Notamacropus eugenii: one gene and its partners. The protein of the gene in region 2 purifies or fractionates together with the protein of the main gene of each other region. This does not show direct contact. Links are inferred from orthologs where the notes say so. Each region holds a gene or a part of one and is shown on either strand. Other genes may lie near its edges. The genes, in order: PEAK1, GRB2, DOCK4 and PTPN12.

What was found.
Region 1: the proteins of GRB2 (region 2) and PEAK1 purify together in Homo sapiens (co-immunoprecipitation; 3 studies listed by BioGRID and IntAct, counting the BioPlex papers as one, with this or other methods). This does not show direct contact. The link is inferred for Notamacropus eugenii from reciprocal best matches to the Homo sapiens genes GRB2 and PEAK1.
Region 3: the proteins of GRB2 (region 2) and DOCK4 purify together in Homo sapiens (co-immunoprecipitation; 4 studies listed by BioGRID and IntAct, counting the BioPlex papers as one, with this or other methods). This does not show direct contact. The link is inferred for Notamacropus eugenii from reciprocal best matches to the Homo sapiens genes GRB2 and DOCK4.
Region 4: the proteins of GRB2 (region 2) and PTPN12 purify together in Homo sapiens (affinity purification with mass spectrometry; 3 studies listed by BioGRID and IntAct, with this or other methods). This does not show direct contact. The link is inferred for Notamacropus eugenii from reciprocal best matches to the Homo sapiens genes GRB2 and PTPN12.

Annotation. Positions count from the first base shown.
Region 1 is NC_092872.1:257,226,012-257,233,032, forward strand, and holds the start of PEAK1 (inactive tyrosine-protein kinase PEAK1), read right to left. Parts: upstream 3,020-7,021; 5' UTR 2,933-3,019; intron 2,653-2,932; exon of another isoform or gene 2,549-2,652; intron 2,356-2,548; exon of another isoform or gene 2,163-2,355; intron 2,033-2,162; exon of another isoform or gene 1-2,032. UniProt on the Homo sapiens protein: Probable catalytically inactive kinase. Scaffolding protein that regulates the cytoskeleton to control cell spreading and migration by modulating focal adhesion dynamics. Acts as a scaffold for mediating EGFR signaling.
Region 2 is NC_092873.1:341,472,175-341,479,816, reverse strand, and holds the start of GRB2 (growth factor receptor-bound protein 2), read left to right. Parts: upstream 1-4,627; 5' UTR 4,628-4,940; intron 4,941-7,642. UniProt on the Homo sapiens protein: Non-enzymatic adapter protein that plays a pivotal role in precisely regulated signaling cascades from cell surface receptors to cellular responses, including signaling transduction and gene expression.
Region 3 is NC_092874.1:141,836,228-141,843,386, reverse strand, and holds the start of DOCK4 (dedicator of cytokinesis protein 4), read right to left. Parts: upstream 3,020-7,159; 5' UTR 2,687-3,019; coding exon 2,650-2,686; intron 1-2,649. Other genes in the region: ZNF277 (zinc finger protein 277), read left to right, coding at 3,353-3,431. UniProt on the Homo sapiens protein: Functions as a guanine nucleotide exchange factor (GEF) that promotes the exchange of GDP to GTP, converting inactive GDP-bound small GTPases into their active GTP-bound form. Involved in regulation of adherens junction between cells.
Region 4 is NC_092874.1:153,756,840-153,763,987, forward strand, and holds the start of PTPN12 (tyrosine-protein phosphatase non-receptor type 12), read left to right. Parts: upstream 1-4,128; 5' UTR 4,129-4,591; coding exon 4,592-4,690; intron 4,691-7,148. UniProt on the Homo sapiens protein: Dephosphorylates a range of proteins, and thereby regulates cellular signaling cascades. Dephosphorylates cellular tyrosine kinases, such as ERBB2 and PTK2B/PYK2, and thereby regulates signaling via ERBB2 and PTK2B/PYK2.

The DNA of each region.
Region 1 (7,021 bases), on a different chromosome or scaffold from region 2:
ACTGGAAGCAAAAGAAAAGGCACCAAAAGCTACCAAGGGACTGGAGCGGAGCAAAGAGGCCTCCTGCTGAGCCTGACCTTACCCAGAAGCTCATCCTGCACTTCTCCCCAGCTTCATCCCTCTGCCTCCCACCCTGTGAAAGCTCCCTCCTCCTCCTTCTCCACCAAGGGTGCCCGGATCTCCTCCGAACAAGCTGGAAAAGATAAGTGCCAGTACTTTGTAACTTTCCCAAGCGACTGTTCTATTTCTCATTAGATTTGCGTTCATCTCAACACCTCTGCTCCCTTCCGGCACAGATAGTGCTTTATTCATCTCTGCATCCCCCTCCGCATATATCAGGCACTTAATAAATGTGTCTGTTGATTTGAAGGCTCTGAAGCAGCCATTGATTTCATGATACGAAATCTGCACCAGAGGCCACAGCGGAGTCCCTACCGATTTTCACAATCAATGAAACAACCAAAAAAAGTGATCTGGCAGGTTGCAACACAATCAGCTCTAACACAGCACCTGTTTCATTTAAATAGCACAACATTATATAGTTAAAAACAACAAATCGCTCTCATAAAGCAAATGCTAATCTCATGATGTTTCACCATTGAGCAATTGAGAAGAGCAAGTCTACGAAATATGCCAAAAAATGAATTTATGGCCTCTCCTCATTTGGCAAATGTGGTAGGTGTTGTTAAATGTTGAAAAACACATATGCAAATAAGCAAATAAAGTTCTGAAGCTCAGAGACTTCAACATTTACATTAGCGTACATGTGCACAAGAAATGTTTACAGGAGCATAAACACAACACTTTCCAGGAACACATTTTTTAAAAAAAGGCGATTCTCAAAAAACAGCTATGAAGAGCGAATATTCTCGGAAATGGATTCCAAGGCCATATTAAGAAGGAGGGGAGGCATCACCAGACAAGGCGACTCCTAGGGAGCGTTCCCTTTGTCCCTCGGCGGTCCCTGTCTCCCAAGACAACAAAACCATCCCCACCACAGCCACTCATGGTACATCAAAAAGCGACACTAAGGACAACAACCTGATAAAGTTCTCGTTCTTCCAGAGATGACCAGCGACGCTGCGTTCCCCAGATACGCCCCCGACAGTCACGGAAGAGCACGCTCGGTGCATGTCCCCGGAGTCTGGGTGCGGGCCACAGCTAGTCCTGGCCGGCGCCCCCAGAGCCTCCAGGGCCGAGGCTAGACAGCCCCAATCCCCACCACTCTGGCCAACAAGGCTCGCTCTGCCTACTTCAGTGATTCTTAACAAAGTGAGTCACTACAGAGCAGCGAGCAAACACTCCAGCAAGTCGGCGCGCAAAGATGCCTACAGAGGCCGTCACCGAACGGGACCAGAACCGCTCCGGGAAGTTCTGCCCCCTCGGGGAAGCCCAGGAGCAGCGAAGGGTTTAACCGGGGCCCCTGAACCTTCACATCCAAGACGGCGCTGCCTCTCGCCAGGATCGGCTTCCTCGGAATCGGAGGATTCGGAAGCACGGGTCTCAGCCCTCCCCCAAGATGCACTGGAACCTTCCGGCCGGAGCCGAGTTCAGGTGAAGCGCTCCGCCCCGGCCACCGCTTCCTTTCCCGGTCTCGGTCCAAGGACGCCTAGAAAGCCCCGGGTCCAGGAGCGGGCCGCCTCTCAGCTCATCGCGAGGCCGAGCAGGAGCGTGCCAGCTCTGCCGTCCCCAGGCCGAGGGGGAGGAAATCATACTTTTCCTCTAACTCATCGCCCCCCATCCCATCCCAGAAGGTTCCCGAGGGGGACTGCAACAGGGTAGCGGCGGAGAGGGCACGCGCACACTCCCACTGCCAGCCCCTGCTTTCTGCCGAGCTCCGCAGCAATCCCGGCGGACCGAGTCCGGGCTCCAAGCTTTGAACTTGGCCCGCAGGACGGACCGCCCAAGGAGCCCCGGCCCCGCACTCCGGACCAGTGGAGGGGAGGGGGAAGGGAGCGAACTCCGCAGAGGGGCCAAGCCCCGGGCCCCGACGGCAGGGGCACCCCGGGGGGTCCCCGGCCAGCCTCGGCTCCTCGCGTCACCGCGGGCATTCCGGCCCCCGCGGGCGCCGCAGTCTGAGCCCGCGGCCCCCAGCTGCCCTGCCAGGGCACGGGGGGGCTGGTCCCGCGGGGAGGGGGCTCCGCCCGGGCAGCACGCCTCACCTGGAAGCCGCGGGCGCCGCCGCCACGACCACCTCGTCGTCCGTCTGTCCGCCGGCCCGTCCCGGCTGGGAGGGGGCGGGAGGCGCGCGGGCGGTCCCGGCCCGGTCCGTCCCGGCGCCGCCGCCTCCGCTGGAGCCGCCGCCGCCGCCGCCGCTGACACTCACAACAACTAACTAACTCCCCGCCGCCGCCGCCGCCTCCGCGCGCCCCCGCCAGCCCCCGCGCGCTCCCGCCCCGCCCGGCTCCGTGCGCGCCGCCGCCACCCTGGAATGTGCGCGCGCGCGCTTTCCCTCCTCCGCCTCTCCCCTCCCCCTTCCCCCCGCGGACAGGCGCGCGCGCGTGCCCCACGGTCCAGGGCGCTCCCCAGCCACCACCCAAGCACCCACCTCTTGCCCCGCGGATAGGGGAAAGCACCAACACGCGCGCACGCGCGCGCGCGCGGAAAGGGCCAGTCACCCCGCGGCCAGGTAGCCGAGGAAAAAAGGGGCGGGGAAACAGCTGGCCAAGGGGATTTGATTGGCTTGGGGGCGGGGCTAGGATAGGGGGCGTGGCAGGTTGGCGCGGGGCCCCGCGGCCGGCCTGAAGACCCGGAGCTTCTGGGTTTCGAAGGGAGAGAGGAGTAAAAAGAGAGTGCAAACTAAGTACGAAGCGCTTCCCCTCCCCGACTCCGTTCTCTTTTCAATACAGACGCGCTTTGGTTAGGCCTCCCAGAGTCTGCAGGGGGCGGAGTAAATAAACTACATCTCCCAGCAATCTCTGCGAAAAATCACCTTGTTCGTGTGCACGTAGGTTCATTCCGCGACCAAGAAAAATAATCCCGAGAGTTTTTCGAGGAATGCGGCGCGGCAAGTTCCACTTGGCCTTGAGCCACACCGGAAAACCGCTAGTGTTCCCCACCGAGTCAGGAATTTACGGTAAGGTAAGCTCTCCAAGGCGCAGAGGGGGCGGGGGCGTCCGTGGCGGGAGCGGGGAGAGGGCTGCGGTGGAGGGATCCGTGCGTCGAGGCGTGAAGTGGTCCGCAGCGGAGAGCGAGCGCGTCTGCAAGGGACTGAGGGAATTGTGCTCAGTGCGGGGGGCTCCGAGGAGGCCCGCGGCCTCTCCCTGCCCGCCGCCCGCAGGTCAGTAAGCGCGGACGACCCTCGGGGTGGCCCGCTCCGAGACGCCGAAAGAACCTCGCAGACACCCCGTCCTCCCCCGCTCCCTTCCCCATTGTTGACCCTCAGTTTGCCTGGTTGCAGGCTGGCCGGTTGGGGGGCCGACTACTTCCGGTGGTGGGGGGAATCTGGGGCTCCTTGGGAGAGGGACCACCTACTTCCGGCGGGGGCGGGTCCGGCCGAGGGTACCTGCTCACTTCCGGCGCAGGGAGCGGGCGGAGGTTAGTGGTCTCGGTGAAGGTTCCCCCACTGCCCCCACAGGTTGCTTTCTCCATTCCCGTAGTGACGTGTGGCCCCAGGTCTTTATTTCAGCTTCATTTCCGGCCCCCACCTGCGCACCTGCTGCCAGCCTCTGGCTGCCAGGTAGCCTTTGATGGAGGAGACGCTGCGGGCTGGGTCCTTTCCCTCGCGTCCGGGGGCGCCATCCTTCCGGCCTGAAAGGCCGATTTACCGAATCCGCTGCTTTCTCCCGTACCCTCGGACCCCGCGGTCCTCGGCCTTGCCCACGGTCACGCGTTGTTACGTGGCTGAGGGGCCCCACGCTCCCCGTGCGGGTTTAAGCTGCGGAGCCTGCGGGGCAAGGGGCCGAGCCGCTGCGGTCCGGTGCTCGGGAAGCTCCTTCGGCTGGAGGCAGCCCTGAAGTTTGAGGTCAAAAACAAGCTTTTGATTTACTCTTGGAATGTGAGTTTTTGTAGGGAGAAGTTTCCGTCGGTGTCTCCAGTGCCTAACAGACACTTGGGAGCTTGACCCATTTTGACACGAATTCAGTTCTTGTTACAGGCTTCCAGAAGAATTCACTTCTAGTGGGAGCATTTAAGTGATGTTATGTTAAGAAGACGGCCAGCTGGGGCCGGGGATGGAGAGCTGGGCTTGGGGTTCGAATCGAGCCTCCTGAGCCTCCCCAAGTCACTTCATTTCTGCCTGCCTCAGTTTCCTTTGCTGTCAGATGGGGATGATAACAACACCCACAGGGTTGTTGAAAAGATCAAATGAGATATTTGTAAAGCGCCTTAGCCTCTGCTAAAGGTGTCTTATTTAGAGTGGGGTATGGGGTAGAGTGTAAAAAGTACTGGATTTGAAGCCAGTCATGTTCACATCCTGGACGTGTGTGACCCCATTAGGCAAATCACGCAACCTGTCTGAGGACTTCGTTTTCCTTATCTGTACAATGAAAGAGTAAAAATAGATTTCTTTAAAAAAGTTTTTTTATTCATTTCCTTTTTTACATTCCTGTTCCTTTGCAATGACTTCCCCTTTCCTAACCGCTGAACCTTTCCTTGTAACAAGTGCAATCAAGCAAAACAAATGAACACATTAACTCTGTATGTGAATGTGTGCCTCCTTCTCCACAGGGGTCCATCCCCCCATCCCTTCCACCTGGTGGTAGTATGCTTCACCAACATTCCATCTCCCATCTCACTGTCTTTCCCCTGCCTTTCTTCAGTCCCTAGAATGCACTCCTCCTCTTTACCTCTTAGAATTCCTACTTTTAAAGCACAGCTTACAAGGTCCTTTCTACTTGAAGCCTTTCCTCATCTCCCCAAAAGTTAGTACCTCCCCCTGGAAATTGCCTTGTATTTATTTTATATATTTTTGGTAAGAGAGAGAGTGTGTGTGTATTGTTTTCCTAATACAGAGTAAGCTCCTTTCTAGGCCCTGGACTAAAGTCCTTAGCCTCTAGGAACTGTTTTGTTTCCCCATCGTATGTCAATCTCTGTGCAATCTCTTGATATGTCGTTAGGTACATAGTAGGTAGGCATTTAATAAATTCTTGTGAATTGATTGATGGCAGAATTGGTCACTGTATTGATCAGAGCTCTGAAGTCATTTGATTGTATTTTCTGTTACATTTTTGTGGTCAGCCTATAAATTGTTCTTTTGGTTCTACTTAACTTGAATCTGCTGAATTATCTTTTAGGGCACCCTTCAACTGCAATATTCTGTTCTTCAGGAAGCCTGAAACATTTAGTGTTTTGTGAAAGCTGATTATTTAAACCTGTCACTGAAAAGGCTATAAATTGGCTTGATTTGAAATAATTTAGAGATTAAAACTATTAAATTTATTTCTGTTGAACTTCTAATAAACTGCTCCATTCACTATTAACCAGCCTCATAATCCAAGATGAAAATTACAGCTTGTTTTCTTCATCTTAAGCTTTTTGTGGTTTTTGTCTTGTTTTTAAGGAAAAAAAATGTTTATTTGAGGTCTCTAAAACTCAGTTCTTAGTTTTTGGTTTGTTGTATTGGGTGAGGGGAGAGTGAAGGAAGGACTTGCAGAATTATAGATAGAGTACCTTGGGGGGGTGGGGGGAACAACATAAACAAAGTCAGGCCAAAGTTTAATGAAAGAGAGGAACATGCAAATGACCTCCAAATAATTAGCAAGATATTTATTTCATTATCACAAGAATGTTTCATTAAAAGGAAAATAGAAGTGTTCGTTATTTGTTGTGCTATAAGACATAGAGTATTGTAGACTCATCCTGACAGATTTGGAATTATGGAAATAATAGGAAATTGTGAAAAAGTTAGAGAAAAACGATATTAAAATGTGAACTGAGGTAGTTACATTTCCTTAGTGTAGTTGGAAAGCAAAGGAGTATATTAAGTTGGCCTTTATGATGTTCCACTAGAGAAATGCAATATAATAGAAATAAAAAAAATTGCTGTAGCTTAAAGACTTGAGCAGGTTGAAAAAGTGTCTGTTCAGAAGAAAGCAATACATAAAGCACATATCTGAGAAAGGATGTTTTCTGATAAGTGGCAGCTATTTGTTGGTTCTATTAAAGGAGAAATATTAGAGGAGTATGTGCAGAGAAGAGAGGTGAAGACCATAGAACATTTTAGAAAGAGAGTTATGTGGAGAAGCTGATGGATTTACTATGTGATAGAAGAAATTTAAAAATATGCTTGGCTCCTGTTTTTGTTATTTTTATAATCAGGACAACAAAATTAGAAAGTAAACTTAGACTGTATTTTGGGGACATGACTAAAATTTTGTTTCAGTGAATTATATAGGAATCTGCACTCCTAACTAATAATACTCAGATTGCATGATAACTTATGTTACCAAAGCATCCAGGGATCATCACACTGCCCAAAGTAGTTAGGAATAAGTCAATAATACAAAACTCAGTGCTTTAGCAGAATTGATAACATTTGTCATCTTTTACAAATTTTTACTCTTTTGGAACATAGACCTTTGAGTAAGAATGGACTCCCAAAAATCTACTTCAATCCAGTGTTAAGTTCCTTTACAACATCCTTAACAAGTGGAGATCCAGTCTCTATTTTGTGGTGTAGAGCTCACTCAAAGGGCAGTCCATTCCATTTGGGGATAGCTCTCATTTGAAACCCCCCCCCAAAAAATTTGTATACTTTGAGCTGGAATTGGCCTTCCTGTGATTTCCACATTTTACTATTTTTGTTTTTCCTTTGTTCATCTTTTGTTCTATCCAAAGTATACTAATATTCTTGAAATATTTTTATATCCTAAAGGTGTGAGTAGTAGGCAATATTTTCTTACCTTATAGATGTTTTTCTACTTTTTTTACCTTTTTTTTTAACCCTACAAAAATTGCAGTCTTTGACTTTCCAGATGGAAATCAAGGACAGGAAACTCAATCACCACCTCCCTACTTATAAGGTTATAGGGTATGATCATGGTTTGAATAGCATCCAAGATACAACCTAAAATTTGTATGA
Region 2 (7,642 bases):
CTGAATGGAACTGGAAGAAGTCAAGCCACCTAGCTGACTGGGTCCACTACAAATCTGTTATCTAATTTAATTGACCTTCACTGCTGTAAGGCAATCATTTTACTTTTTCCTATTTGATTGTCTAGCACAATCCCCATGGTATCCATCGATGCTATTTTTATCCCCATTTTGCTGATGAAGAAACTAAGGCAGACAATGGTTAAGTGACTTGCTTGGGGTTACACAAATTTTAAGTGTCTTCCAACTTCAGTTCTAGTGTTCCATACACTATACATACCTAACTGGTTATTTTCTTCCTCCCTTCCTTTTCTCCTTTCCTTCCTTCCCTTTTCTCTCTTAATTTTTCTTTCTTTCTCCTTCTATCTTTCCTTTCTTCTTTCCTTTTTACTATTTACTCCTATTTTTTAAAATTAAATTTCTTTTTTTAATAAAAATACACTTTTTCTTTTATTTCTTCTCTTGTCTTCACTGAGTAAGAGAGAAAAACAAACTCCCTGTTAAAAAACATATATGCATAGTCAAGCAAAACAAATTCCCCAAAATGGCCTTGGCCACCTCCTCCCCAAATACCTCAGTCTATACTATGATTCTATTGTCTTCTCTCAGGAGGTAGGTAACTTGCTTTATTATGAGTCCTCTGGAATCATGGGTGGTCATTGCATTGATCAGAATTCCCAAGTTTTTCAAAGTTGTCTTAGCAATATTATTGTTATTGTATAAATTATTCTTTGGTTCTGCTCACTCAATGCTGCATCAGTTCATACAACTCTTCCCAGATTTCTCTGAACTGTTCCTTTCATTTCTTATAACATGACAGTAGTCTATCACATTCACATAGCATAATTTGTTCAACTATTCTCCAATTGATAGGCAGCCCCTCAATTTCCAGTTCTTGGCCACCATAAAAAGAGTTACTATAAACATTTTTACTGCCTGCTTCTTTCAACTAGTGCTTATATACTATGGACTCACTGCCTTTCACCATTCTGGTTGCCCTTCTCAGGATACTCTCAAGCTCATATTGAGCTTGCAGTCCACTAGAACCCTCAGATCTTTTTTTTAACTGCCATCTAACAATACTTCCTTAATCTTATACTTCTGAGGTTGATTTTTTTGTACCCAAGTATAACACTACATTCATCTCTATTGAATTTTATCTTTTTAGATCCAACTCAATGTTCTAGGTATCAAGATCCTATTGTATTCTGACTCCATCATCCACCGTTAGCTATCCCTCTTAGCTTTGTATCATCTGAAAATTTGATGAGCATGTCATCTATACCTTTATCCAAGTCACTGACAGAAATGTTAAACAACACACAGCCAAGGACAGATCCTTAGGGTACTGCATTGTAGATCTACCATGTTGACAATAAATCATTAACAGTTACTCTTTGACTCTGTCCATCTGACTAGTTCTGAAGCCATCTGATTTTGTTATCATCTAACTCATATCTCAATCTTTTCCACAAGAATAATATATCTTTTTTTTAATCAAAAACTTCACTAAAACTTTGGTAAGCTATATCTACAACAGCGCTCTCATCTACCAGTTTATTAACGCTGTCAAAATTTTAAATGTGATTAGTACAGCATGACCTGTTCTTGATGAAGCCATGTTGACTCTTTGTAATCACTGCTTTCTTAGCTATTGACCTACCATCTCTTTAATGATCTGTTCTACAATTTTCTAAGGAAATTTTCAGATTCAGTCTCTCTCCTGAGTGATATTTCCACATCAATTACCTGTTGGGCATTCCAAAATGGATAACTCACAGATACTCAAACTCCTCTATCCAAATGATTTACCAGTTACATACTCCCCTGATTACAATTACCCAGATTCAGTCTGGTCTCATGGTTCAGGTTTGAAATAGAATGAAATAAGCCAACTGTATACCATCTAACTTTTTTTTTTTTTTTACCACCTAACATTTAACAAAAAGGAAATTCAATGAACAGTAGCATGGAAAGAATATTCAGAAAGTATGCAAAACACTGGTTCAGCTAGATTTAGCCCTACCTTGTCTCTATTAAAAAGGTTTCTGCTCAGAAGAATGTGTTGACTCTCCTGGCAAAGGGAAATCTTTAAAGCAACCTGCATGTGTTAACCAGTTCTTTCAACCAATCCTCATGTTATGGACTCAAACAACTTCATGGGCACCAATTTCTCAGAGGCATCACTCTCTTACTCAATAAATTTCACCAACTCTCCATTATGTCTAGGGTCAAATATAACTTCTCAGTTTGACATTTAAAGCTGTTTATAACCTAACTCCAACCTCTTTTTCTAGTCTTAATATACATTAATTCATGAACCATACCTTTTGATGCATCTAAACTGGCCTTCTTACTGTTCAGCAGTTGGAGAATGAATTCAGGAGAGTTCAAGGCATAGCTGAGAGAATACACACACACACACACACACACACACACACACACACACACACACACATACTTCAGGTAGTCACAGAGAGACTGCTTTCAGGAAGCTTTATGGAGTGGGACCTCTAGTAGCCCATCTGCCCATATCCAACAGAAACACAGTACCCAGGGAGGACCTTCCAGAAGATTCTACAAGCAGAGGAAGGACATTAAAGCTCCTAAGAGCCAAAGGCAAGAGTTACTTTGGCCACATATTTTCTTTGTACATAGCCTCGCTTGTTGTTTTTTGTCCATTTTTAAAGAGGAGCCAATGACATCACAGGTAGTCTTGACTTGCACATGAATTGAATTGAAGTGAGACAGAGTTGCACAAAGTTATCAGTCTGACTCCTTCTTCCAGTGTCATAGAAATCCGGTGGCAAGATAAAACTCAAGGTGACTACCGATGGCCTGAGATGCAGGGAGTGACCTTGGCTTCTTTGCTGTCTGACTAAGCTCTAAGCACTTCACCTGTTTTGGCCACCTTTGTGGTAGTTGGAATGAATTGTTTTCATCTACCCATTCCATGGGGATGGGAGGAAGCTTTCACAGGCTTTGGTTAGCTATCCCCCTAGCTTACCAACTGATTTGAGGTTCGTTGGTTACTCTCAACCTCATTTAGCCTATCTGCAAGATAGTCTTCCTGGGATGTCAATGCTGTACATGCTACAGATTTTTTGAGACACAGGTGAGAATTCGATGACATGTGGATACTAAAGGTTCATGAGCAGCCTTGAAAAGGACTGAGCAAGCCCTCACATACTCCATACTCCCCCCATACCATATATAGGCTCACTCATCCCATTAACACTGAGTATATGTTCGGGAGGGTACACCCCAGCTTTACTGAAGAAAATGTTTTATAGATAATGTACATAATCCGGCTCCTTCCTGCCTTTCCAGTGTTTTACCCTTTACTTCTTTCTACAATCTAGTAACATTGAACTCTTTGCTCTTCCTCACATAAGACACTATATTTCTGACTAGATATTTTCACTGTTCCATGCCTAGAATTTTCTCTATTCTTACTCTGGCCTCCCGGCTTTCTTAAACTCAGCCTAAAATCCCATGTTCTGTAAGAAGCCTTTTCTGGTCCCCTTTAATGCTAATGCCTTCCCTCTATGATTTCCTCCAATCTATCCAGTATATATCTTGTTTGTAGATAGTCATTTGCATGCGGTCTCCCCCATTAGATTGTGAACTTCCAGGCAGGAACTGTTTTGGGATCTTAATTTTTCTTTGTAAGCCTAGATCTTGGCTCAGTACCTGGAACATAGTAGCTACTTAATAAATTAATGCTTATTGACTGGACTATGGTATCTTAGGCATTTAAACCTTTGCTAAGGGCTAATTATGTCAGTTAACTAATTGTTAATGGTAAGCACACCAGTGGAGGTTCTAGAATTGTAGTTGTAGGAGTAGGTACCCACAGTCTGTACTCTATAACTTGAGAGTACCAGCTATCCTTTGGGGACCCCAATCTCAAGTATGAATGCAAATTGGGGGATACTCCAGAGAGGATGTTACATAAATAATATTGTAAACCCAATTATTTACAAATTGTCTAAAAAGTTGTATACTTTAACAATATAATAACAAAAACGTCCTTTTTTGTTTCTATTTCTCCTTCTGAATCATTTTTTTCTCTTTAGTAATTTTTAGGCGTTTGCTTTTAGGCGTTTTGACTCTTTTTCCTTCACTCACTTTGTATCTGCCAATATTTTAAAAAATGTATAATTCCATGATGTTCCTGTACCACGATTTATTCAGTCATTCCCACATCTTTAGACATGTGTTATTTCCAGGTTCTCTTTTTTCCGATGAAGGATGATACTGGTATGCCCTTTTTTGGTACAGAGAAGCCTTTTTCCCCTATCTTATCTCTTACCATCCTTAGGGTATTCTCATAGTGGGCGATGTGTTTCTCTTTTCATCTTTTACAATTTCTAGTTGGGGCGATGTCAGGAAAAGGGGAAGGGGAAACGATCAAGGGTAGGAAAGAGTTACAAACCACCTCGAGAAGGCGAGAGGGAAGTCTGGAGGGCAGGAGGTGGCGTCTTTGCTCTGGTTCTGAAAACAGTTACAGCTTCCTTTAGGAGGTGGGGGAAGGGTGGATGCCTGACGGCCTGCCCCATGACACCTGCTCGGAGGCGGGCCGGGGGCCAGCGCCCGCGTGTGCGCCTGCGCAAAGGGAGACTCCGAGAAGGTTTCCCCCACCTGCTGGGCAGGGCCGGGGAATGAACGCTTGCGCTCTGGGGCCCCTTTTACTGGGTGGCGGGGGGAGGGGGAGAAGGAGAGGAAGAGGGAAGTCTCCCGGGGGGGCGGGGCCTGGCCGGGCCGACGGAGGAGAGGAAGTTCTCGCGGGAGTACAGCGGAGGAGCGGAAGCGAGGCGGCTCTGGTGCTGCGGCTACCGGGCGGCGGCGGGCGCTGCTCTGCGGGGAGCGCCGGGATCTCGGCGGCCGCTCGCTGCGGGTGGACGGGCCGGCGGGGCGGAGAGCGGGAGCTCAGCGCCACTGTGAGTGCGGGGCGGCGGGCGGGGAAGCTAGGGCAGGGCCCGACTCTTTCCCCACCCCCCCACTCCTTTTTCTTCCCTTTCCTCGGGGAGGCGGCCCTGAGGGGGAGGCCGGGTCCTGAGCTTCGGGGCCGCCTCGGGCTGTGGGGCTGTGGCACCTCTGCTGGGGGTGAAGGAAGAGCCGGTGCCTCCGTCCCTTCACCCCACCCACCCGATCCGGGAGGCAGCAGTCCCTACCTGCACTGACACCTCCCTTCGAGACGCCCCCTCCACGGGGGGGCTCTGTTCCGAGTGACCCACTCTTTGAGAACCATCCCCCCAGTCTAGTCCTTAGGGACCTCCCCTCCTCCAGCGCCCTCTCTCTCCCATGCTGGGACCCCCAGAGAAGAGGCTGTGCAGCTCCCCTGCTGGGGGATTCTTGATTTCATTTTGTGTCTGTCTTTGGCTTGAGCGTTTGGAGACCCAGGCCGGGGAGAAGCAGAAATCGTTTACTGTATTCTGGTAACTACTAAGGCAAATGACTAATAATTCTCTGTGTCAGACTTAATGCAGGAAGCAGGGGATTCAGAAGAGACTGCCAGGGCGGTGGGGATGTCCCTTCTCTGACATGCTCGGCACTCACCTCTGTGTCAGCTGCTGTCTGTCTGGTGTCAGGAAAGATTTTGATTTTTTATTTTTCCTCAACTTCGGAGAACTCACCACAAAGCCTGCATTTTTCTAGGAAGAGAGGATAAGGGAACCATTTGAAGTGCATTTGTTTCTGTTATTTTTTTAAACTAGCATCACGGTGGGGGGGAAGTATTTGGTGTGATTGAAGCAAGGAAGTGGGACGTGTAGGGAGAATAAAATCAATTACTAGAAATTTTCTTTGGAAAGCTTTTAATGTAAAACTGATTTAAACCATGTCCTGTTTAGAAAATAATTCTGGACATCTTCATCTATGGTAGTAATTTGAAATTCAGTTTGAAGAAGAGATTATGGAGTATGCATTAGAGCTTGGTTTCAGGTATTACTTAGTTTTAAATTGAAAAGAATTGACCAGGCATGTTAGAAAAGGAATTTCTAGGTTTTGTTATTTCAATTTTTATGAGTACCGCCTTTCCAAACAAACCCTTTACAGGCTGATTCCTCCCTACCTACACCTGTATCATGTAAATAATTTTGGTTATCCTCTCATCTTTAACTCATTTCTATTCAGTGCCCAATGGATATCTGTATTTCATCATTAACAGATTTCTTTTTGTTTATGTGCATCATCAATTTTCTGCTTGCTTGAGTTTTTTTTCTTTAGAAAATGGTCAAATTTTAACTTTGTTGTTCCTGTTCTTTCACCTATATTCAGTGTAGCAGTAACTGTCTTTCAGTTTGAGAAGGACCAAGCCAGATGCTATATACATTCCACTATATTTTTTCATTCAACCAGAAGGGTTGCCAGAGATGCATGTGAGACTCGGGCTCCCCTCTGGGGATTTAGTGGACTCAAAGGATTGAATTCATCCCTAAGTAATTGACACTGCCGTAGGTCATAAGTGTAGTTCTCTCATGTCATTTGTATTGATTTTCTTCTAATCTCTTTCACTGTAGCTTGGGCCTTTGTGTTTGCTGTACCCTGTAGGGGCCTTTCTCTATGCCTGTGTCAGACACCATTATATTAAGGATTATATTATTCTAGGGTTTCTGAGAGTGATATGGATTTAGACAGATTCAGCTGTGAATTTTTAAAAATGAAGGCTTGAGTTGAGGTTCTTCTGGGTCCACTTCAGTTGTAAAATCACTTATTAGAACTTATTGAAAACCTTAGTAGAAAATAACTTCCTTAGCCCAATGGTGAATCAATTAAAGTGTACCCCTTGGTAGTTATATTCGTTTATTTACTGTGATTAGGTCCTCTCTCTTCATATTATCATTATTTTCTTTGTCTTGTTCTTGAGAATCCTCTAGTCAGTCCTAGACAAGAAAAGAAATCCTGGAGAAACATTAGCTTTCTCTTTTGGAGCCGTAGTGTTCAAATCTTAAGATCTTTTGATTTGTGTACCAGATACCAGGACAAAGCATTTGTGGTTTCTGATCAAGGTCTAAAAATTGTGTCTTATGATCCATCTGAGGCTTTAAGATTTCATTGTAATACATGTATTTTTACTTAGTAATTGTAATTGTATTTAAATTAATTTCATGATACAAAGTATTATAATTTTTTCATTTGCTTCCTCTGTCTTCATCAGGATTCTTTGTCCATCATTCTCATTCACTTGTATGGTTGTGGTTGGTGTGTACTCCATTTTTCTGTTAACTTATGTATCTTGACCTACTACAAAATGCCTACCTTCCTAGGAGACAGGTTCTGCTATTAAAAATGCATGTATTTCACCTCCTTCATTTCATGAAAGAGGTTGAGGTGATAGTGGTTATGGGTATGGAATATTGCATATACTGTCAGGTGGATGAATTTTTGTTTAATTTTTTTCTTTAGATATGTTTTAAAACAAGGCATGCAGGGTAGGAAAAGAGTAGAAAAATACATTTGGAAATGAATGTGATATAAAAGCAAAAGGCATCAATAAAAAGGGATTTGTTAAAAATAATGTTAAAGCTGCCATTGCAACCTCTTTCTTCCCCTTACACCTTGGGGTCACCACTAGCCTTATAGCCAATCCCAGTTCTGGTTAGGACTATTTACATATCATTTTCATTGTTTCTTTTCTCTT
Region 3 (7,159 bases), on a different chromosome or scaffold from region 2:
CAGGTTGGAAAGGATCAATTTATTTCAATTACTGATGAAACTGAACTGAACCAAGAATTGCAAATCTTTGATAACCACAAAATACTCTTCCCTGGTATTCATAAGAACTACAGAAAACACACACATTTATATCAAGGGTAAAAGGGAGGAGGAGGAGAAGAAGCCTTGAAGCACTAACAGCCACAAATAGTTCTCTCCATGGTGAAGAAAGAAGCTCCGCATGCAGGAGTATCCTAGCAAATTTTTCTCAGTACTCCAAAAAATTCTAACAGATGGATGGTGAACAACTAAGCAACCACAAGCCAAATGCTTGAAAAATAATAAAAAAAAATATTATTAGCCCTCAAAGGTTTGCAGTATAAATGACAAAGGGAAGCAATAATTCTGGCAAGAAATACTCATCTTTCCACTCTCCCCCTTCCTTTGCCACCTTTTCCCACTCAGATAAGTGGCCTCCAAATCACAACTACCACCACACAAATCTGAGTGATTTTGCTGCAGCTTGAAATACTTCACTGATAATATCCTGTTTGCTACTCCAGCAAACCCTAGAGTGGTTTATCAGACCCTGCCCACAGCAGTAAAGAAAAGAGACTAGGGGAGCTAATCGATACTAGCAACCCAGCTGTGACCTGGCACATAGAAAAATAAAAGAAAATGAATCCCATCGATAATCTCTATAATTTAACACTTGGAAGAAAGCAACATCTGGGATCAACTCCAAATGGGACGGGGTTGCCCTGAATGGGTCTTGGCTTCTTGCACTAATTGTTAAACCCGGTGCAATGAGATGATACTGAGATGATACCCTCTTCCTCAAGCTCAGAAACAAAGACAAACTCTTTAGGCTTCTACCTAAATATGGAAAAAATATAAAAGCGACCAAGGAAAAGAAGGAAGCTGGAAAGAATGGCTGTCAAACATACTCCAAACACATCTAGAAGAAACTATTGTCTTGCTAACCACTCAACACAGAACGAAGGCTTTTAGTAGGTCAAGCAAAAGATGAGCTGACTTTGTTTAATCACTTCACGAAGTCAGTTCAGAGGACTCCACGGTCTCTCCTCCAGGCAAAATTGGGGAGAGAGGGTCCCCTGTGAAAATGACTCCCACAAACAGCACTTTGATCTTCCTTTTTTAATTGCAGGAAACGAATGAGATGGGAAGAAAGCAGATTTTCCACAGTATCCACATCTACAGAGATTTGCCCTTTTCAAAAGCACTGCCTAGCGGCAGTAGATGGCAGATAAGAAATAAGGGGATAATAGATAAATTCTATAAATGTTCTGATCTCAGAGAGACCTTTAGGGCCGTGGTTAGCCCGTTCGTGTTTCAGGACCTTCACTGAAAGCCCCATTTCTTTCTTTTCTTTTTTTTAAGGCAAATCCTGAAAACCCAGAAAGAGGGGAGGGGGATGGGGAGAAGGGAAGAACCCAGTTTAATTCAAACAAGAACGGGAACTCTAGTCCGTATTAAATGGGAGGAGGGAGAGGAAGGGAGAATCCAGCGTTCATCAGTCAACATTAATGTCCTTTGTTGTTCACCTTTGCACAGAGGAGCGAGTGTTACACTGTTTTCCTTTTTCTCAAAACGCCAAAGTCAGACAGGTCTTTCCTTAAAACGTACCCTCCTGCCTCCGTCTGACCCACGGCTATCCCTAGCTCACTCCCCAGAACTGAAAATGCACTTTCCAACTGACCCCCCACCAAAAAAACCCCACCCCACGCCCGGCTCCCCGCAGTGACCCCAGGATCGGACCGGACGCAGTAGCCAGAAGTGGAAACATAACCAAGTCCTCGTTCCTTTTCAAATGACAAGGAAAGGGAGCAATTCAACGGAAATTCACAGAGAAACTCCCCCAACCCTCAAAAACACTTAATACAAAATACAAACAAAAATGTGCGGGGGGGGGGGGGTGGAGAGGAGAAGGGCGTTGGGGAAGGAAATAGAACGGGCTCAGTCTCCTGTCAGAATTGTCCTTTGTAGATTATTGCACATTTTGCACTCTGGGGATGTTCATGCGAGCCAGAAGGAAGGGTTTGCCTTCCCTTTCTGGTTTTGTTGGTTTCGGGTTTTTTCCCCCTCCCCTTCCTCTCTTCTCTGTCCCCAACCCTCCTCCCGGGAAATCTCTGCAGCTGATTGTCGTTTCAAATCCCGGGGTTTGGGGGGGAAGGGACGAAGGGGAAGACTAGGAAAGGGGCTCGCCCTTTCCCTTGCAACTTGACACACACATGCACCCATCTCCACTTCCAAACTCCAAAGACGGAGATGAGAGTCGGCAACGCAGAACTAAGGGATCCGTTCCCTTTGCATCGGCGGCTGATCGCTAGCCAGCGGATCTGAAAGCGGAGGGTGGTAGAGAAGGGGGTGGGTGCGTAGGGTTTCGTTGGGGCGGGCGCGAGCCCCCAATCCAGCGAGTTGGGGGGGGCAAGGATGTGTGTATCTCTCTCCGCTTTGAGATGATCTGCATAGCACAGCACCGTATCAAGGCAAAAGAGGGAAACAAACGGGGGACTATATTATGCCCCAACTATCCATTTCCAGCCTCACCTAAATATAGGGGGCAAATAACAAGAGCAGAAAAGAAGAGAAAGAGGAAAATTGCAAGCCCAGGAGAGAGAATAAAAGTTCGCCCGGAGAAAGACTCACCTACGCCGTATTTCTCGTGCTCTGTAGGTATCCACATGGCTGAAGGAAGATTCTGTTGTCCCTCTCTCACACCTCCTCTCAGGAGCTCAAAACAATAAACCAGAAGCCAGAGTAGCAGCAGCAGCGAAAGGGCTAAAGGCAGCTCAGCGCTCTCAGTCCTTGGGCAAGAGGGAGAAGGGTCAGGACTGGAGCCTGCCCAAGCGCTGACAGTGCGCGGGCTGTGCTCCGACTGATGCTAAGGCTGCTCGGGCTGCTGGAGCTGGGGCCGCTGCTGCACCTCTCCGCAGCTTCCTCAGACGCGCTCCCGGGGATTCAGACGCGCAGGCATTGTTCTGATTCACTGAACTAAGCGAACACGCCGGGGCACTCTCGGGCGCACCGCCCCCACTGCTTTCCTCCACTCCACTCCCCCCCTCTTCCCTCCTCCCTCCTCTGCACTCCCCGATGCATGGTGGGAAGTGTAGTTTTCCACCTCACTCCAGAGAAGGGACAGGACACCCTAGCGATTGGGGTGGGGCTTATGGAGGTCCCTCCCATTCTCCCTTGTTCGGTTCTGCTGAATAAGAGCTGTTGGTGGCTACGTTGGGGAGTGGAGGAAAGGCTGAAGTTGGGGGTGGGGTGAGGTGAGGTGTAAACTGAGTCCTAGGTTCTCATTGGAACTAGACCCCACCTCCTCATTTCTCTCCCCCACTCTCCCAGCGGAATGGCTTCTCTTGGGATTGAGGGGGCTGCAGCTGGAGAAGATGGTGCTGGCGGCAGCAGCAGCAAATTCAGTGATGCAGGTGAGTTTGGTGGCCCCCTTGAAGCAGGGCCCTTGGTGCCAGTGGCATTAGTTTTCTTTCCTGCTTTCTATTCCAGTCGTCCCTGCTGCAACACAAACCCTCAAGTCAAACTGACTTGTAGGAGCTAGCCAGAGTCTTAAAGGCTGAGCTTTCTGCAGCCACGTGTGCCCTGGGAATGGCGCTGTGAACCCGGGGAGGGCAGGAGGCGGAGGCGCATATTTGGCAGCTGTTTGCCTTAGAGCGGGTGGAGAAAGGAGGAGGAAATGCCACCTCCCCTCCCCGAGCTGTTAGGGAACCCTCTCTTGGTTCTTCCCTTCCGGTTCTGAAGTAGCTCCCCACTTGAGCTCCTACCCGTTCAATCGGTTTCGGTTGGGTGGATTGATTTGGGGGCGTGTATGTATGGCATTGCAAATTAGCAAGTCTTTCCACCTCCATTTCCTCAGCTTAGACTCTTTTGGGCTTTGTTTGGCATCAAGAAACTTGTTTTATGTGCGTCTTGCGTCTTCCAGGTATGAAATGTTCGTTCCTGGACATTTGTGTAGCGGTATCTTACAGTTTTCTTCCGCACTGGAGGAAGGCTGTGTCCGCTGACCTCTCTGGGATCTCTGCCAAAGTCTCCTTGAGGGTAGAATACTGTTGCTGGAACTCTTGTCAGGGAACCGAGGACATGAAGGAAGGGAAGAGGAGGAGAGAGCTTGCACTCAGCTTCAGAGACGATTCAGAGGTCTCTGGACTTTTCAGTAACACTCTTTTGGGTTGCGTTTTGGCCATCACAGTTACTTTTACCAGTCTATGGGTTTGGGTTCTCTGGAGGACTTTTGTATGGTGTCAGAAATAAGAAACTAAACTTTGAGGGAGGAGCACCCTGGGTCAGAAACTAAATTTGGGGGAGGAGCCTCTTTGGTGAGCAACCAACTTTGGGGGAGGAGCCTCCAGGATGTGTCTTTTCTGGGATTTTAGGTGCAGGATCATAAGGAAGCTCAGCCTCCTCGTTTTACTGATGGAGAAACAACAATCACAAAAATAGGAGCGGGGAGAGAGTTAAATTACTTTCCCGGGGGTGCACAAGTAGTGAGTGACCGCTCCAGTTCTGCCTTCTGCCCACCCGTCTCAGATTGCTTTCCTACTTCCCGGATTCTTCCTCCTTTCCCCTGAAGGAAAAGAGGGCCTCCGGGCAAAGAATGCAGAGAGCTGTAATAGTGATTTGGAAGTTGCCATTTCAGGAGGGGAAAAAAGTTATTTTTGCCCTAGATAAGGTTTGATACACCTTTGCTGAAGGCTTTTTTGTTTTGTTTTTTGCTTTTACAGTTAATAATTGTGTGGTCAAAAACTGAGTCTCATCACCACAAAGTTAAAAGTGCTGTTACCAGCCACTTCTATTATCAAAATTCCCTAACCCTGAAATTATTTTTTAAAAGTACCTCTGTCAGTGCTATATATCTTAAACTGGCTGCTGAGTCAAATGTTTATCCACCTCCACATCCTAGACAGTTAATTATTGAGTTATTTGGTATTCATTTTGGTGGACCAAGTGCTTGACCCAACTCTCATTTGGGGGAAACATATAATTAAAGTTCTCTAGATGCTAGCATCTCAAGAAGGTTATTTAAGACCCAGAGATGTCACATTTAGAATTGTCAACAAGCTGACTGTTGAAGAGAAAATGATTCCTAAACTTTCACATTTGTTTCTACAAGAGGTTCTTAAAATGGAAATGGACCAAAATGAGAAAGCTGAATGGAAAAGTGACTCTCAGTTTTTTGTTTTAATGCCATTAGAAATTCCTGAAATCAGCATTAAAGGAGGGGACAGTGTAATCTAATGAAGGACTACCAAAAGATGGACTTGAAACCATTCGCTGAAGACAGTTTACAAAATTACAGGAAATGGCTTCCTAGCTCAGACCAGCCGTTATCTCTCTTGGAATGGACAAAGGGATGTTATAAAGAGAAGCCACCGTGGAGTGCATAGAATGCTGGACTTAGAATCAGGAAAACCTGAAAGGCATTTATTCTGTGACTCTAACTAGTCATTTAACCTCTTAGCCACAGTTTCTTCATCTATGAAATAGGAACAATAATTACTAGCTTAAAGGCTGTTGTGGGGTCAGATGAGATAATATGTGTAAACAAGGCACAAATCTTATTACATCATAAATGTCACATTTATATTAGTTGACTTTCATAACATCGCAGCACACATTTAGCATTCTACCCCCAAACTCCCCTTTAGTAACCCATTCATAACATTACATAAAATTTTTCCAGACTACTTCAAAACTGTAAATTACTATAAAATTTAAAAGAGCATTGTTATCAAACACATTTCTATTTTTCATCAGTAAAAACTCAGCCTAATAAAACATGCATTTTTTGTTTTTTGCCTGTTGTGTATTGTAGTATTCCCACTGAATTGATCTAAAACAACTCCTTCAAGATATGCCTTCTAATTCTAAAGTAGCATGCAATAATGGAAAGAATACTGAATCTGGGAACCAGAAAGCCTTGCTTTGAGCTCTGGCTCCACCTCTTACTAACTTCGTGACCTGGAGTAACTTAGTCAATAAACATTTATTAAGCACCTACTAAGTGCCAGATGTTCTATTAAACCCTGGGGCCGCAAAGAAAAGCAAAAGACAATCTTTGCCCTCTAGGAGCTCATAATCTATTAGGGACAACATTATGCGAGCAACTATGTACAAGCAAGTAAATTATGGGGAACTGCTCTGAGACTCCATTTAATTATCTGTAAAAAAAAAGATAATATTTGCACTTACCTACTGTGCATAAAGCAGTTTTAAAGCTATGAAGTGCTATAAAAGTCTAGGCTAGTACTTGTAAGATTTTCTAGGCCTAGCCTAATATCTTAGTATGAGACCCATTCCTATGCAATGGGGAGTTATGCTCAGGGATGGAGGACCTGTCACTATTGCCCAGATTCCTTCTTTGATATATTTGGTGTCGGATTTTGGAACAGTACAGCACAACACTGGAGATTCACCTACCAGAGACATCTTGGGGAAACATGGAGATGTCACATCTGCCCCAGGATGCCTCTACCAGAGGTTCAGCAGCCAGTCATACAGAATGGAACTTGAGGAAAGCTGGCAGAAATACCAGAGGTGTTCTTGCAAGCTTCCCCCTAGCCACACCTGAGCATTCACTCACTCCCACGAAAAGCACTTGAAATTAGCCTTCTATACCAGGTGCTTCTCCCAGACTCCTTTGCAGGAGAGGGCCCTAGCTTGCTCAGGCATTTGTTCCTAGCGCCTGGTATAGGTGCAGGTGGTAGGGGAGGGACTCTCTCAGCAGTATCGCCAGTCCTAATGAGAAGTCTGATGAAAACTCTTGCTTTCTGAGAAACTCTAGGACTACAAGGATCCCAGAAATTTCTCATATCACCATCTACTACTTCAGCGAGAATTTATGAGTGCAGTTCTATTTTCTACGTGCCTATCATGTGTGAGACACTATGTTAGGTGGCTAGGACCAGATTAGACCTCAGAGATCTAAACTCCATAGAAACCACACAGGTCTTGCCTTGCTCTTAAGGAGGTTAGGGACTAAGGACTAGATGAGGACACATGTACACAAACAATTATGATACAAGCAAGAGAAATTGTGAGTAAGGTTTTGGCAAGATGCTGCAAGGACAGGGTGATCATTCTTGTGACGGGGAGGTCAGAGAAGATCCCACAGGTAATAATGATGATGCTAGCAGATAGTTAT
Region 4 (7,148 bases), on a different chromosome or scaffold from region 2:
AAAAATGCATAAGGCATCATCCTAAGTGCTGGGATACAAGGACAAAATGAAAAATAGTCCTTGTCCTCTAGGAGTTTACTGTAAACAGGAGATCCAGGAGGGTGTAAAGATAAGAGAAGACTTTCCAAGGGAAGGGGCACATAAAATGAGCCCTGAATAAAGCTAGAACTGTAAAAGGCCTAGACTAGAAGCTCATTTCAGGCATGCAAAAGCAGGGAGGCAGGAACTGTAATACCAAGCTCTAGGAAGAGAAAATAAACAGTTTTAGCTCGAATGAAGAGTGGGTAATGTGTAGTAAACCTAGAAATGTAATCTGTAACTAGGTCTTAAAAGGTTTTACATGCTATACAAGAGGCAGTATGGCACTATGCTTTAGTGGAGAGATATCTATATTGAGAATTTTCTCATCAGAGAATTCTGTATTTCAATAAAATCATAAATCTCTTTCCTATTTCTTAAATGACAAGAGTAAGGGAATGGCATGACTTGACTTTGCTGTCTCTACAATCTCCTTTTTAGAAATCCCACAATAGAAAATACAATGTTTTCTACATGCATTAATGTAAAATTTCTAAGAAAAAAATAACATTCCTTTTTTAAAACCAATACTTCTTTGAGACCAGTTCATAAAGGAGGTGGGGGAGAAAGATTCAGGGTGGCATAGGCAAAAAGAGCCCTTTCTATTTCTCCTTTATGTTTATCGATTAGAATTTAGAGAGGATCAGGCGGTTTCCTGTATCAGAGGTTCAGAATGAACTTTCACCTATCTATATCTATAAAATTTATTGATATATCTAATTTATCTTTTATTCTTCTGTAATCTAATCTATTATTCACCTATTATCTAATCCAATTTTCTATCTTTTATTCATCTATCGTCTAATCTATCTATCTATCTATCTATTCTCCTTTAAAGGTGTTACTAGGGAGATACTCAGGAGTAGATTTAATCTCCTTTGCTAGTTTCACACACATGATTCCAGTACAAAAGCATAATGACTCAGTGGTTTATGCAACAAGCTGGAAACTCAGGCCCTGTGGGTTTCTGGCCTTGCTTCTGCCATTTACTTTCTAACATGGTGTAAGTCATTTTAAATCCCCATTCTTTAGTTTCTTCACCTGTACGATGAGGAAAATTCTATCAAATTGCTTTCCCGATGCATAAGAAACAATAAAAGTAATTCACAAATTGAGTTATAATGCTATGAAAATCACAAAATGCAAACTTTTCTGAGATAATAGCTATGAAAGTGATGTGAAAATTAAAATTATTATATAGTGTAAAGCATTATTATCAGTGCTAATGTGTTGAAAGGGGTACTAGGAACTTGAAAGAAGCAAATGAATCTGAAAATTCTTTTGGACAATTAGATTTATTCTTTTTCTCACCTAAACTTTAGTGAGAGCTCTGGAAAAGTAGCAAGACTCACTGATTTGCATTCATGTTCTTTTCTGCTTCTTGACAAATTATTCCAAATAGTGGGGCTAATGAGCAATGAAACGATTAAAAAGTGAGACCAGAGAAGAGAGGAAGAAAAGCAAAGAGTTGGGATATTAAATCCTTGAAGAATCATTAACTAACATCTTCAAATCCTCTCTGTCCACTGGATCTTTCAAATATGTTCTTCAAATATGTACCGGCCTCCCTATCTTGGGAAAAATAAAACAAAATAAAATTTTGACTAGATTCCCCTCCCTCCAGCCTATATGCTACTTTTCTTTTTACTTTAATTGATAATTTTCTCAAACAAATTGTCTATACCTGCTTTCCTCATTCATTCTTAACTTATCCCACTGAAATTCAGTTTCTGATCCCACCACTACATTGATTGCACTCATCACAGTCACCAGTATCTTCTTAATTTCCAGATCCAATTGCTTTGCATTTTTCTCACAAGTTTATTTTATAAGATTAAATATAACTGAAAACAGGACAATGAAAATATACGTAGGGATAACATTTAAAAGAATCTTGCATCTCGACAGGCTAGAGTAGAGGTGTCAAACTGGTTGCCTGTGGGACTCCAAGCGTGGTTGAGCTAGATTAAGATGTAAATGGGAAATGTTTAACAAAATATATAAAAAGACAACATAGATAATATTAATTTGTGGTTTTTAAGTCAATATATGGCCCCCAGGGATCCATTTCTATTTCAATTTGATACCACAGGTCAGAGCAGCAGGTTGAATCTAACAAGATAAAATTTAATAGTGAGAAACACACTTTGGGGGAAAAAAATCCACTTTCAAATCCAAGATGGGGAGTGAGGAGGGGAGGGCACAGTTAAACAATAGTTGTTCTTCAAAAGATCTGGAGGTCTTAGTTAACTACCAGCTCGATACGAATCAACAGTATGCTGCGGCAGCCACAAGAAGCCTAATGCAGTCTCGAGCTCCACTAAGAGACCCGGAGGTTTCAGCAGCAGGGCGATGACCTGCGTACCCTGCCCTCCTCAGACCTTCTGGGGAGAACTGTGCTTGATTCTGCATGCGGAGAGTGTGGAGAGCAGGGCAAACAAGACGGTCAGTGGCCTTGAGTCTGTGACCTATGAGGGTTAGTTGCAGCAAAGGTTGGAGAAGAGATGATCTGAGGCTGGGGAGTGGGGAACAGAATGGCTACCTCCAGATATCTGAAGCCCTGTCACATAGAGAAGGTAGATTGTTCTCTCTGGTTTCGCTGGACAGAACCAGGAAAGGGTGGCAACTGCAAAGAGGTCAGTTCAGGCTTGGCATCGGAAAAGACTTGCTAATCATGCCAGCTGTCTTGTTAGGGCTCTCGTAGAAGTGCTGGGCTTCTCTTCAAGCAGATGCCCACTGCATGGATGTTACAGTTTAGATTTCCTTCATATATGGGTTGGACTAGGGGGGTGCTGAGGTCCCTGCCCCCCCCCCCCCGACTGTGAATTATATACACATGTATAACGTATACATTTTGTTACGTGTGTAAAACATCTTTTTAGGACTGGATCTATGACGTCATCTGTTTAGGGAGCTCCTGGGGATGAACCCCCTCTTCCAACCAACCTTTCTGCATCTTACAGCCTTACAGAGTCTGGGCAACCAAGACGCAGAGGACAGCAGGCCAGCTCTCTATCCATTATAACATCCACCATGCCTGTTTTCTTCAGGTTTAGTGATCTGAGTGAGATGTTGAAAAGAATTTAAAAACTGGGGCATTGGAGGATGAGATTAGTGACCTTGGGCAAGTCTCTAGACCTCTCTCGCTCTCGTTTCCTTATCTCTAAAATGGGAATAAGAATGCTTGCAACCTTCTCCCGGAGCTCTGATGAGGAAAGCCTTTTGTCAACTTTAAAATTCTTCACAAGGGAGTTAACAGTAGTTGATGTCGGAGATCCTTTCGAGAGCTTAAACTTCTGCATTCTACAGTGCCGAGCGGTGCTGTGCTTGTTCAGTCTGCACGTTCCCCAAGCAGTATGAGCATCTTCCTCATGGGGCGGTTGAGGGGAGCAAGTAAGCTCCTCCCAAAGAGCTTCACCCCCATCTAGTGAACCCGTCAGCTTCATCCGTGCACTAGGAAACAGAGAAAGATTCAACGACTACTGAACACCTAAAGCAGTTTTTGACATAGCCACAAGAACCACAATTCCCAGTAAGCCCCACTCTTCCCAGGCCGCCTCACAGACACTATCCTCTTACACTTCGGCCCCTCCTCCCGCCATCAACGTTGCATGCTGGGAATTGTAGTTCTAGCTTAGGGATGGGGAAGGGGAAAGGAAGGAAGAACTTAAACATTTTCGGGAATGTATTTTTCCTCAGTATGGGGAGCGACATACTCTCGATCCAATAGAAGTCCTACTGGGTCCTGTAAAGGCAAAGCCCTATGAGATTACAAGAACTCTTCTCCGGGGGACCTACAATATCCTGGAGAGCAAATTCTCCGGATAGCCAATTCACCACCAGGATAGTGGAGGGGCGGAACCCCTGGCCCCGGAAGGAGAGCGGTGATCGCTCCACCAGTCAAGCGACGGGTCTTCCAGCCAGTTGGAACCCGAAGGATGGGACCGGGGCCGTGCTTTACATCGGAGATTGGAAGAGAAGAGAAGGGCCGGCAGGATTGACAGAGAGTTCCGTTTGGGGCGGGGCTGAGGTCGCGGGGCCGCGCGTCGCGTCGGGGCGGCGGCGGGGACGCGCGCCTGGGGAAAGAGGTCGACTGTGCCGGGCGGAGGGGGCTGGGCAACCTAGGGGAGTCGCGTCCCGAAGGCGGCGGCGGCGGCGGCGGCGTCTCTGGCGGAGGCGGAGGCGGAGGCGGAGGCGGAGGGCGGGGAAGGAGGATGGAACCAGCTGGGGGCTGGGGCTGGTGCTGAGACGCGGCGCTTCTCCCTTCGTACGGCTCCTGGAAGTTGTGCGGGTGTTCGCCGGACGCCGGTGCCGCCCCTGCCGCTGCCGCTGCCGGCCGGGCTTGGCGGGAGAGCAGGCGGGCGGGAGGGGCCGCCGGGGCTGGCGGTGGTCGGGCAGGGAGGGGGGGAAGGGAAGGGGGAGCGACCTGGGGAAGACGGAGCGCGCTTTGCGCCGGGCGGGCGGGCGGCGGCGGGGGGGCCAGCGGCCGCAGCCGCCGGGAGGACGCGAGGCGATGGAACAAGTGGAGATCCTGAGGAAATTCATCCAGAGGGTCCAGGCCATGAAGAGCCCGGACCACAATGGGGAGGACAACTTCGCCCGGGACTTCATGGTGAGTTCTGCCCCGCCCGGGGTCGCTTTGTGTGGGTGCCCGTGCCTGAAGAGGGGGTGTCAGCGAGAGCCGGGGGCGACGGGGCGGACGCCCACCTGCCGGGCGCGGGGGCTCCTGCGGCCGCGGGGGGTGGGGCAGCCGCCGCCCCGAGCTCGGGTCCCGCGGAGCGGGAGTGGCTGTGAGGCGGCGGCTCCCTTCGTCGGTCTCGGAGACCACCTATTGTTCCCCCGCTGCCCCCGCCCCGGACACCCCCCAGGCTCTGGCGGGGCGCTGGGGTAAGTGGCTCTGGCACCTTCTCGCTGCCCTGAAGCCCCTCCTCGGTCCGCCCAGCTTTTTGCTTTGAGTGTCTGGAAAGGGTCAGGGCAGCGGGGGCTTGGGGCTGGCGTTTTCTTCCCAGTCCTGGCGTTTCCGGGGGGGGGGGGGGTAAGGGAGAAGGGTGCAATCGGTGTGTAGGGCGCATGAAGCAACTCCATGGGGTGTCTGGAGCTCTGGGTGGTTGGATTGGGGGAGGACTGGACCGCGCCTGGGTATCGCAGGTTCTCCCCCAGGTTTGCAGGAGGCATCTCCTGGAGAGAACGTGTTCAGTGTACCAAGATGTCCATAGCTTCCTGCCTGGAGCCCACGTTATTGGGGTCGTGTGTGTGTGAGGTGGAGGACAGCAGGGAAATAATGCTGAAGGAAGCCTTTTCCTAGGGGATTTTGTGCAAGGCAATGGAGGGGATGTGAATATCACTTCCTATCCGGGGTGGGGGTGGGGAACTTGGGAACAATAGTTGGGATGGGGCGGAGGCGATGGTTCTCTGGGCTGGAGGCCTGAACTGGGAGATAACCTTCCTCACTCTTCCTCCCCCTTGTGCCCCCCTCCCATTCAGTGTCGGGGCTGGACAGATGGGAAGGACGTAAAGTTGTCTGCAGGTAGATGAGTTCAGTGAGGTTAGATATCTGGAGAAGGGGAGCTCATAAAGGCAACATCCTTCCATTTTCTATTCACCCCCCCCCCCCTTTTTTTCTGGACAATGACCCCTCAAGAATTATTTCCCGTCCTGGGAGGAGGCGGTGGGAGGTGGCCGGTGGCTGCTGTTGCTCCTACGGATATTGCGCAAGACTCTGGGGCGTTGGAAACCCTGGAGGTCTGAGGAATGGAGGAGGAAGCGGGACTTTGGGAAGTGCTTACTCCTTCCAGGGCTGGTTTGGGGAGAGGGAGTTAAAAGCTGAGATCTGCTTGGGAAGGATTTTGCTCCTGAGGGAGCATAGTCTCATAACTATATTTAGAAAATGAAAAAGATGTAGTGCTGGCATCCACAGAGAGGGCTGGGGAGAAAACATCCAAACGAAGAGAGCAGATGGATTTCTTTTAAGGTTCAGGTTATCCTTAGGCTAAAGCAAAGTACCCACTGACTTGAGGTTAAAGCTTTACTGCAGAATTCCCTACTCACATGTAGGGAATTTAGATGGTAGATTTTAAAATGAATTGTGATGACTTTACAGAGCCTTGTGATTTTTCGTGTTTTTTTTCCTGAAACCTGTAACATAAGATAAGGAACAAAGATAGGTTGATGACCATAATTTGAAGCTTATTTCGAAAATGTATATTTGGGCTGCAGTGATAAAATTTTACCCAGGAGAAAAAAAGAAAAGAGTGTATGGCAAGTGGTTTAACCCTATCAGCCGGAAATGGCTATTTTTCTTTGATTTGTGTGTTTCATTCATTCTTTTTCTGTGCTTTTTGAGAAATAGAGCTACATTTAGGAGGAAAATGTAAATAAGTTATTTTGTTTTGGTTTTTTTTGATAAGAATTTTCAGTATGTTGAGATAATTTGAAATGGAGTCATTCTTCAAAGTAACTGGGATTTGGGGAGGTCCTATTTTAAATTTTTTTTTACTACACCATGATGGATGAAGATGTTTACTTTAAAATATAAACTTCCAGAAATAATTTTTTTCAGTGCTAAGGAATGAAAGAAATAGAGGAGTTGTAATCTTTGCTCATCTCTTCATTTGTTTTCTTGTTATTCTAGCTCTTCTTGGATACTTTTATCTACTTCACTTAGATACTTGAGACTTTTTCTTATGAAGGAGAAGAATTACATAATTTAATGATTCGGTACCTGTAGCTTTATGATCATTACCTCAGGTTCAGGTTCCCAATACTAGTATATCTTTAGGGAAATGTGAAATACCTTTTGGGACTTTTCTTAGATTCCTTTGAGTTGTGTAGAGGCCGCTTTTCTCTCATTGCCCTGGGGAAGAAAACTTGTGTACTCTACGTTTTAGACACAAGCCTTCCAGGGATAAATTATTAATTAAACTATTTCATTTCTGAGTATATCTGCTTAGGGAGAGAGAAATAAAAAAATGTCAATCTCAGTTTGCTTCCATAATTATAAGGCATTGCTTGGTGACTCCAGTTCCAAGGTTTGATGACTAAGGTCTGTCTCATCACACCAACTCTAAAAC